Arabidopsis thaliana: one gene and its partners. The protein of the gene in region 1 interacts with the protein of each later gene in a pairwise test. Each region holds a gene or a part of one and is shown in the gene's direction. Other genes may lie near its edges. The genes, in order: VAR3, AT1G51580 and LSU2.

What was found.
Region 2: the proteins of VAR3 (region 1) and AT1G51580 interact in a two-hybrid assay, tested with the Arabidopsis thaliana proteins (one large-scale study listed by BioGRID).
Region 3: the proteins of VAR3 (region 1) and LSU2 interact in a two-hybrid assay, tested with the Arabidopsis thaliana proteins (one large-scale study listed by BioGRID).

The regions. Positions count from the first base shown.
Region 1 is NC_003076.8:5,870,969-5,874,725, reverse strand, and holds the start of VAR3 (zinc finger (Ran-binding) family protein), read left to right. Parts: upstream 1-1,943; 5' UTR 1,944-2,054; coding exon 2,055-2,497; intron 2,498-2,578; coding exon 2,579-2,705; intron 2,706-2,823; coding exon 2,824-3,104; intron 3,105-3,391; coding exon 3,392-3,490; intron 3,491-3,589; coding exon 3,590-3,757. UniProt on the Arabidopsis thaliana protein: Probable component of some protein complex required for chloroplast and palisade cell development. Involved in C-to-U editing of chloroplastic RNA. Controls a large number of chloroplastic editing sites.
Region 2 is NC_003070.9:19,123,562-19,127,318, forward strand, and holds the start of AT1G51580 (RNA-binding KH domain-containing protein), read left to right. Parts: upstream 1-2,021; 5' UTR 2,022-2,050; coding exon 2,051-2,653; intron 2,654-2,734; coding exon 2,735-3,118; intron 3,119-3,194; coding exon 3,195-3,446; intron 3,447-3,534; coding exon 3,535-3,748; intron 3,749-3,757. Other genes in the region: AT1G51570 (Calcium-dependent lipid-binding (CaLB domain) plant phosphoribosyltransferase family protein), read right to left, coding at 1-1,127.
Region 3 is NC_003076.8:8,442,634-8,446,113, reverse strand, and holds LSU2 (response to low sulfur 2), read left to right. Parts: upstream 1-2,012; 5' UTR 2,013-2,357; coding exon 2,358-2,642; 3' UTR 2,643-2,835; downstream 2,836-3,480. UniProt on the Arabidopsis thaliana protein: May be involved in defense responses monitoring. Probably implicated into osmotic stress signaling.

The DNA.
Region 1 (3,757 bases):
TGAGGGAGTTGTTTCATCAAATACTATCGACTGTATTTTAGGGGTTACATTTAAGATTATCAAAACTTCGACTTAAATTCAAACGTCTAATATAAAATTTTATGTGAAGTTGTTTAATGGTCCGATTAATAGCGCAAGACGGTAAGAGCTTTGTAACTGTACAAAATAGTGATAAAAATGGTGGTATGGTTGAATATGGTAAAAATGATAAGAGATGAAAAATGGTACGATAAGAAGTCGTTAGACCAAAAAACTAGCTGCATATTGAATTAGTTCGAATGAATAATAGGATTGCTTTTTCTACATAGTTCTGAGGTTACTTCTCTTTCGGTAGTTCGTGGATCCATCGGATCATGTTCGTCATTTGATAAAGTCGTCGGTGAATTTTACGAAATGGTTAGTGGTTATTGATCATTGTTTAACCACAATTTCTAACACTCTCACTTGTACGATTAAAGTTAATGGAATTGTGTTTTTCTTATCCTTTTAAAATTTGAGACAATCTTTCAATAGACCCAGAAAACAAAAGGTGGCGAGAAAAGGTAACTTCGAAACTCCAAGCGCTAAAATAATGTTCGGATAATCATGATTCATGAGATAAGTCACACTAATTACATTAACATAGAAAAAGTTTCTTTAAAACTTCTTGATTAGTTTTAAAGAAGACACTTTAACTAATTTGAGGAATTTAGGGCTTTATCTCATGATGTAATGACATAAAGTCTCTTTATTAAAATTGAATTTTAATTACAAATCATGTCAAAGTTGTTAGCCCGTCCATTGCACTTGTGGCATAGAACTAAACATGTCACATCAAAGTATAAATAGTAATTAATTATGATAAAATACATTTCTAGGGGAATTAATGAGGTTATACCTTACGGACTTAGATTGAAGTCATTATCAAGGCAGTTAATTGTCTACGTACTCACCAATATTTTACTCCACATAGATCTAAACAAAGAAATTAGTTATTACATTATAAATAGCTTAGTGTATGTAAAAGTGTTAATCAGAATAAACATTAGTCAAAAGTTGACGGCAGTGATCGGCAACTAATCCACACCCAACTTTAACTCACAGTGACTCCCACGTTCAAGAGAACACAAATATTATTCTCTCCTTTTTAGTTCCACTGATGTTTTAATTTTCGTTTCTTTCGTTTATATAAAACTATATTCATAACGTATTATTTTTTAGTTAATTTTTATTTCTTAGGTTTTATTATATATTGTAATTGTATAAGTTCTGAAACCAAGAAGTACTAATACATAATAAATATAACTATTTTAGATCCTTGACATAGCTTTTTTCTATAGTATATGTAAAAATAGTCTATATCATCTATTATTTTCGAAAGTTGTAAGTTGTAACATATAAACTTATTAATTTAAGAAAAACAAAAGTTAGAAATTAAATAACGTATGTGAATTGAAATCTCTAAACAAGTAAACATCACTTATTACGAACATATGTAGAAGTATAACTATAATCGAGGTTTGTTAAGTAAGTGAAAATTCAATAACGGAGAAATGTATGACTATAAATCTTTTAAAGTTATAGCGGCTTTAAGTCAAAAGAAATGTATGCATGCGTATGACATTGTACAATGTACACTTCAACTTTTCAAGTCACGAAAATTGATGTCAAATCGACGTGCAATTTGATAAATACCGAATCTGCAAACTCCTTTTTATATTGTATAAACTGAAGATTTCAACATAAAACTTACGCTTATCTTTAAAACATCTCTTAGATTAGATTACTATCAGTTCGTTACTTGGGTTAATTCCATTATTAGTACGAAACCATTTACTTTTTCTTTAAGAGACATCCCATTTGAATGAAATACATTATTTACCAAAGTTACCAAACATTCATAATGGCAAGCCCAAGTAGTAGCACACAGAATTATGGGCCTATGTTAGCCAATATGGGCTTATTTTTTTCTTCATTTTGCAATTATTTTGCGATTTATTAATCCTTTTTTTTTCCTTAAACATCACTGAAATAATTCTCGCCGGTAAAAATAAAACCAGTGACGACGAGCAACGATGAACAACTCCACCAGACTCATCTCCCTCTTCTCTCCTCATCCTCCTCCTCTCTTTCTACTCCGTGGTCTCTACATCAGCCGCATAGCCAATCTCCGCCGTTTCCACCGCCGTGCGTTTCCTCCTTCGTCCGTTGCCTCAACCAATCTATGTTCTTTCCGTCCACTCGTGTCATTGCCGCCGCTTATCCCCACGTTTCCTATAGGACGATTCTACAATCACCAAGTCCGTGTCTCCGCCGCAGATTTTGTTCCTTCTTATCACAACCAGCAGCTACCTGAATGGACAGAGCTACTCCAATCTCTCTCCAAAGCTGGTTACTTCTCAGATTCCGGTTCGATTTCTGGTTTAGAAAGTGAATTCTTTCCCGGTTTTCCTGATGAACTTCTCCGTCCAGCTCTTGCTTGCTTAGCTCTAGCTCGTGAACGACCAGAACTGCTTGAGTAAGTAATCTGCAATTTTTTCTCTTTCTCTTTTTGGATTGATTCTCAATCTGAATATCTGATGATGTTAGTGTTTATTAGAATGCTTTCGAGGAGAGACGTTGAAGTGCTGGTGGAGAATGGAAAGCCATTTTTATTCAAGACAGGTCCAGATTCACTTAAAAGGATGAGCCTTTACCTAAGAAGTGGTCTTCAGGGCATTGGTAAGGTAAGTTCTATCTTCTGGCAAATGCTTAGTCTTTTATTGGTGAATGCTAGGTTATGTCTAAACTTGGTTCAATGGTGATTTGTGCCTCAAAGTTATGATCTTTTGTGTTTTACATTAGTTGATGGATATGGAGAAGGCGAGTACAGTTGATTTGATGAGGCTTATTTTGAGTTATGTTGTGGATGTTGCTTCTTCTGAGGAGAGCAAACAACATAACAAAGAGATTATGGAGTCATCGGTTCGAAGCCTCTTGAGTCAGATAGCGAAGATGAGCTTGCGTCCTCCTGAGTCGAATGTTCATGACACGATGCAAAATCAGTACTCAGATAGAGATGGACAAGGAGTCAGGTCTTTTCAGAATAACGTTGAGATGAAACGTGGTGACTGGATTTGCTCGAGGTATGAATTTGTTGGATTCTCAGTAGCTTTTTGGTGTAAATCTCCTATGGCCTTTTGGTTACCATTCTTCTATGGAAAGATATAAGTAGGCCTAGATATAAGGATACCATAAAAAAAAATCTTCTGGATCTGAGCTTGAACAAGTATACTTCTGACTATTACACTAGTATTGTGGTCGAAAGATCTTATTTTTAGAGCTAAGAAGTCAGTATGGTGTAATTGTCTTTGTTTCATCATCTTGTCGTTTAGGGAATCTATATATATGATGTGGGAATTTGTTGAAACAGGTGCAGTGGCATGAACTTTGCGAGAAATGTCAAATGCTTCCAGTGTGATGAAGCAAGACCAAAGAGACAGCTTACTGGTAGTGAATGGGAGTGTCCTCAGTAAGAAACTGATTTTTTCTCTCTGCTACTTTATGACTAATGCGATGAGGAATGATGAGGTTAACCTTTCCTTTCTTTCTTGGTTGTTTCACTTATCAGATGTGATTTCTATAATTACGGGAGGAATGTAGCTTGCTTAAGATGTGACTGCAAGCGACCCAGGGACTCTTCACTCAATTCAGCCAACTCTGATTATTCAAGTGACCCTGAACTTGAGAGAAGACTGGTCGAAAACGAAAAGAAAGCACAGAGGTGGCTTAGTAAAGT
Region 2 (3,757 bases), on another chromosome or scaffold:
ATTAAACCGGTCGCATTTAAGACCCCTAGCTCAAGCACACCGATGTTAGGCTTCCACAGTTGCTTTGCAGTTGGTCTTAGGTCACTACTGTAATGTGTAGACTCATCAAGCACATGATACCCTCCTTCCAAACAAATCCTCATGTGGATCTTGCTGGCGAATTTGATCTCTTTCTTCTCTCCTCCTTCCATTATAACATGCTTCTCAAGGTTAAACCACCTGCTGTTCACCGGTCTATAGTCAAACCTTTTGTCCAAATACTGCAACGGAACCGCGCATCTCCCCAAGACTTCATCTTTATTCGGCGCAACTCTATCTTCCACACTTAGAATCAAAGGCTCTTCAAACGGCTCAGCTACAACAAACATCAAATCCTCATTCCACATCGGATTAATACTCCTGCTTTGTGACACTCTAGTCCTCAATGCCTGATTTCCCATTATCACTTTCACAAAGACTTCAGGATATCTCCCTTTATCGCTCGGTATCAAATCCTGAGCTTCAATGACATTAACCCTAAGATACCAAAGCTTAGGAGAGAGATAAACCTTAGATCTGATGTTAGCTAAAGCATCAGTTCCACTAACAGTTGCAGCATCAGAGTGCCAAGCTTCAGGAAAAGCTTCATCAGCTTGAGTACCAAACCAAACAGCTAACATAAGCTCTCCTTTAACTTTTTGGCCTTTCCCATCTTCTAATCTATACCATTGTGGAGCTAAAGGACTATCAGGAGGAACTCTCTTAGGTATCTCATTCAAATCAAACACAACACGACCAATCAAATCATCTTTAACTAAATCTTTATCCTTGACAGTAGCTTCAAGATAAGAAGCTTGTACCCTATCTTTAGAAAAGGCGAAAACTTGGTTCCACTCAGGATTAGATTTCTTCTCGAAATGTCTAGTGGTTCCTCTGTAGTTACCAAGCTTAACTTCAACGTAAGGGTCACAACTACCAGTTAAGTCTTTACCTGGTAATTCTTTAGCCTTTACGACACGAACATAGAGATACTGCATTTGCTCGACGAGGTCATATGTGGTTGTGAGCTTATCTCCGGTGACTTTGCCTCCACCGAGATGAGGTTTTGTCTCCTTTAAGGAGAAATCTTCAGGAGGTGGTCTCTGCATCTTTGAAACTAGTAAAGTTTGGATTTTTTCTTCTTTCAGAAACACTAGATCTATAAGTTAGATCTTCAAAACAAACAAACAACCCCAGAAAACGATTTACACCAGAAATCTCAGAATCTGCTTAACATTAAACCCCCAAAAAAAGAAAGAAGTAAAGAAGAATCCTTTCTTCTTCTTCCTCGTAAAATCAGAAGATAAGCATTGAGAGAGTTTTAGAAAGAGATAGAGAGAAAGGACTGTAGTGAGAGAAAAGTAAAACACATTGAAGTAGAGTGGTGAAGGTTTTCTTGTCTTCTTCTTCCTTTTGCTTTTTTTTTTTTTGCTCTTTTCGATTTTTGTTTTAAATTCAAAATGATTTTATGAGTTGGCAGAAAGAAAAAAAAAAAGGCCAATAAGTGAAAAACATTTTCTTCATAATCATGAAATTTGATTTGAAAAGGACTACACAATATAAATTTTTATTTCTTTCTCTCCTTTTTTAAGTACGAAAATATGAATAGAACTTTTATTTCAAATAATACTCAAAAGTCTCACATACTATGGCAATTCTCAAAAATACCTAAATTGAGTATTATTGTTCCACAAATACTGTCACTAGTTTTTTTCTCAAAACATACCACAAAACAAAAACTAGATTTTAAACTTTCAAAACTAAATCCTAAACCGTAAAAATAAACTCTAAATCCTAACAACAAATTCTAAACTCAAAAGTTTAAATTATAAACCTTGAAAAATTAATTTTGGTGTTTGTAATAAATTTGGAACAAAATTTTTGTTGTAGTATTTTCGAAAAAATAAACTCATTAAAATATTTTTGGAAAAGAGAAAAAACATAGTTTAGTGGTATTTTATAAAACAGATTTTAAAACATTTAAGAGCCTTTGAGTTAAACTCAAAACGACGTTGTTAAGCTTATTCGACTAATGGAGTTCTCTACCTCAAAACGTCCGGCGACGACAGCGACGGCGGCGGAGTCTGTACATTTCCGTCTTCTCTGTCCGGCAACAAGAACTGGTGCAATAATCGGAAAAGGCGGCTCAGTCATTCGACACCTCCAATCTGTAACCGGTTCAAAAATCCGCGTCATCGATGATATTCCCGTTCCTTCAGAAGAGCGTGTAGTGTTGATAATCGCACCTAGTGGAAAGAAGAAGGACGAATCGAATGTGTGTGATTCCGAAAACCCTGGCTCTGAAGAGCCTAAGCAAGAGAAAGGGAGCGAGTGTGCGGGGACTAGTGGTGGAGATGACGAGGAAGCGCCGTCGTCGGCGCAGATGGCTTTACTTAGGGTTTTCGAAAGAATAGTGTTTGGCGATGACGCTGCTACGGTTGATGGTGATGAATTGGATAAAGGTGAGAGTGAAGGTTTGTGTAGGATGATTGTTAGAGGTAATCAAGTAGATTACTTGATGAGTAAAGGAGGGAAGATGATTCAGAAGATTAGAGAAGATAGTGGAGCTATTGTTAGGATCTCATCTACTGATCAGATTCCTCCTTGTGCTTTCCCTGGAGATGTTGTGATTCAGGTATACACAGCTTCTTGTGTCTTTGTGGCTATTCAATTTATAGAGCTTTTTTGGCTGATTTAGTAATGTTTTTGTATGAAGATGAATGGAAAGTTTTCGAGTGTGAAGAAGGCGCTTTTGTTGGTTACAAACTGTCTTCAAGAAAGTGGTGCACCTCCAACATGGGACGAGTGTCCGTTTCCGCAGCCTGGTTATCCGCCTGAGTATCATTCTATGGAGTATCATCCTCAATGGGATCATCCTCCTCCTAATCCAATGCCTGAAGATGTTGGACCCTTTAATAGACCGGTTGTTGAAGAGGAGGTTGCGTTCAGGTTGTTATGCCCGGCTGATAAAGTTGGAAGCTTGATTGGGAAAGGTGGAGCTGTGGTGCGAGCTCTGCAAAACGAAAGCGGTGCGTCAATCAAGGTTTCGGATCCAACTCATGATTCAGAGGAGCGGATTATTGTGATATCGGCACGAGAGGTATGTTGATTTGCTCCATGGATTTGGTTTATGTATATCATTGGATACTTTGTCTCATTGGTTTACATTGTTGTAGAACTTGGAGAGAAGGCACTCTCTTGCCCAAGATGGTGTGATGCGTGTGCATAATAGAATTGTTGAGATTGGATTTGAACCTAGTGCTGCTGTTGTTGCCCGGCTTCTTGTACATTCTCCATATATCGGACGTCTATTGGGTAAAGGGGGTCATTTGATAAGTGAAATGAGGAGAGCAACTGGTGCTAGCATCCGCGTCTTTGCGAAAGATCAAGCTACAAAGTATGAATCACAACATGATGAGATTGTTCAGGTAAATTTTATATAACATCCGCGGCCTCGATAAGTTTTTCAACTCTGTAGTTTTCTTGTTATTTGACACCTTTTTGCTGGATTGGCAGGTCATTGGTAATTTGAAAACTGTTCAAGATGCTTTGTTCCAAATATTATGTAGGCTTCGGGAAGCAATGTTTCCTGGAAGACTTCCTTTTCAAGGAATGGGTGGTCCACCTCCGCCGTTCATGGGTCCGTATCCAGAACCGCCTCCCCCATTTGGACCGAGACAATATCCAGCTTCTCCAGATCGTTACCATTCTCCAGTAGGACCATTCCATGGTATTTCAT
Region 3 (3,480 bases), 2.6 Mb from region 1:
CTAAATGTTTAGCCCATTTTAACATCCGTACTTTTTATGGTGATCTTGTAATGTTATAAAAACTGGAAATTATTTTCTACATGTATAGCGCTGTTGCTCACGTAACATATATAGTTGCTGATGTAATTGGGTGTTTTAAAATCTATTTAGGATATTTTGGATGAATGATGATTATTTTTTTAGTCAATTAGATAGTGGTCACTGATCAGCATCCATAGAGCATATTCCAACTAAAGATTTCAACAGTTGGTGACCGGTCCCTCTGTGTTTTCCAATATATTTAACACAACTTTACATAATTTTATAACCAATATTGTTTAAGATTTTGAATTATAGCTAAAAAGAGAGAAAAAAACAATATTGATTCGGGCCATCAATTTTTTTGGACCAACCTTTGCTAGGAAAACGAAGATACACATCATAAGGTGACGTATAGAACAAAACGAACAGACAAATAAAGCATAACAGATGTAGTTTGTAAAGAATAAATGGTGTAGAACGAATAGAACAAAAGCTGAATAGATATCTTAATTAGTTTGGTGCGAGTAACGGATAAATGAGTTATCAAATTTTGACTAATGTTTTGAAGTTTCGAAATATATATATGATTGTATTAATCGGTATTTAACGCTTATGATTTTTCAGTTTATACTTGAATCACCCTACTTCTTGAGGTTGGTGTGTTGTCCAAATATGATTCACAAAAACATGACCAAGAGTAAAATCAAACCGCACCGTATTATTTTATTATGCTTCATGACACCATTCATAACCAAAGTCTTCTTAGTTTTCCCCATACACACCAATAAAGATACTAAAGAAATAGCTAATAAGTAATTTAAGAACTATGAATCGTAGCCGTAACTTTAACTATACAAGAATAGCTGTATAATCGTGACAGCCCTTGACTTTGGGAGATATTGTCCAATACTCCAGTTAAGAGAAAGAAGTGGGAATGTGGGTTACATCGACAAAGGCTTTGCTCCAAGTTAATTAATGGCTATAATTGGCGGAATATATTAGTGGAAAATATAAAGGTGAGAAAATGATTTCTACATGCCTTTTAGCAATTAAGAGAAATAGTGGAAAACAATTATTTTCTCTATATTCTATGAAATAGCAAAACAGAAAAGAAAGAAAAAAGAAAAAAAAGAAGTTCCCCTTTGAAATAAGTGGGGTTTCATTGAAAATTCAAATAGTACTACTCTTTCATTCTTTTAGTGTCCAGTCAACGTTCTCGAGAAGAAAATATATTCAACGATTAGTTTGTTGTTACATGAGTTTATTGAATTAAGTTTTTAGAATGAATATATAAAATCTTGAAAATTGGATGCTTCAGAAGCAATTTTCAGAAATTTTGTTCAATTCATGGTAATAAAATGTTCAATTAATTAAAGTCATTTTTCAAGTGCAAGAATGGTAATGTTAGCATAATACAGCGGATATATATATCCTCTTTGAGGATAAAGAGTTGGTGGATATAAATATAACTCATGTTATTTCAATAATAGTCACAATCTTTTCTTTACATGCGTATATGAAAACATATTTGCACAACTTATTCCTGAGTTTAGGACCATTATTAAGACGATGTATTATTATGATCTATTAACATATAGTTGTCTTTGATGAAATTGACAGCTCATTGGGGCTATAATGTAAGAATTGTTCATTACTTTTACTTACGAGCTACAGTTTAGACTTGTATAAATAGATTGAATTACTAGTATTTATGGTCCAGTAAATATGAAATATTCATTACTTTATATGTATAGCAATTAGATCAAAGTAAAATGGTCCAAAATATGTTTTAATCCACTTTATTCAATTAGACAAAGAAATTTATTCATTCTTAGAAAGCAAATACTCCATTTTAAAAAAAAAATATCAGTTTAAACAAATATTTTTCATTTTAAATCCGTTGCCATATGTATTATTGAAATGACAAGAGTTATTATGACTGAACCAATACATTTTACTATATTGATTGATAAATTTTTATTATAACTTATCTCGTGTCTCCTCTAAAAACAAATTTGTCTCTAACCAATAAAACAATTATATGGTACCACTAAAATATTCCAAAATATTAATTGGACCCAACGTGTATATCGAAAATAATTTAAAAGAGAAAATGTTCTAGAATCTAGAGGAAGAAAATAACTCACCAGAAATAAGAAAGAAGAAGAAGAGATATAGATACATTGAACCTAGACATAAAACCCACCCAAACCCCAGTCTCAAAGACGCCTATTAATAAGGAACGTTCAAGAACCAAAACAAAACACAAAAAAACTCAAAGTGACCAAAATAACCAAAAGGAGAAATCTTTAGAAAACCTTTAAAAGTTCTTAAAAATGGGGAAAGGAGGAAACTATGTGACGGTGGCGGCTTCCGAAGTGGACGAGCTACGACGGAAGAACGGAGAGATGGAGAAAGCTGTGGAGGAGATGAAGAAAGAGATGTTGCAGTTGTGGCGGCGGACACAGGTGGCGGAAGAAGCGGAGGAGCGTCTCTGCTCACAGCTAGCCGAGCTTGAAGCAGAATCTTTAGACCAGGCTCGTGATTACCACTCTCGTATCATCTTTCTCATGAACGAGCTCTCTCGTCTTTCTTCAGACTCTGCCTCTGCCTCTCCGTAGAATTAGATAGATATTTGCTTTTAAAGAAAGATAGGTTTTTTAGATTGTTTGATGTATCCTCTTATCGGCTCATATCAATGCCAATATGTAGAGTTGTCTTTAAAACAAATATGGAAGTTTCAATCAAAAAAAAAAATCGATGTTGTTACCGATTGATTTTTGCGATTAATGATGAATGAAAAGTCTTGAAAACAATTTAAAGTAAATGATATTCGATGTTTGGTTTGACTAAAATGGAATTTTGTTTGTAAGACGTGTAAATTACTTTAACAGAAAGAAAATTTAAAGCAATTATGGTCATGTTTCCTATTATTATATGTGAAATGACCAAATTACAAATAAAGATTTTGCTTTTAGATTTTTGCGTATTATATGAAGAAGTGTTTGAATTCTACTGAATCATTGACATTGCAACAGTGGTTTTGGTCTTTCTAGAGTTTGACATAGTAAAATTGGAGAACTTGGTTTGCTTTTGGGAGAAAAAAGGGAAACGAATATACGGATCCAACGCCAGTGTACTATGTACAAATATAAACAAAGGGTTTGTTTTTGAACAAATCTAGTTTCTGACAGAACCAGGTGACCTGACGTGGGCAAACAAGTCTAGTCTTTTTTTTTTGTTAACCAAAACCCTTTAATTTTTCATAAATTGTGATGCAATTAAAACAAACAAATATTTATAATGTTTTTTTTTTTGAAGTATAACTAGAATTGTCTTTGGAGAGACTTGGAAACTGATGATCCGAGAGGAGATCTCTTTGAATTATGAGAATGATAATAGTTATCTTGTATTTCTTTCTAACCATATAAAACGGATTTTCTGACAAAATGTTTTGTG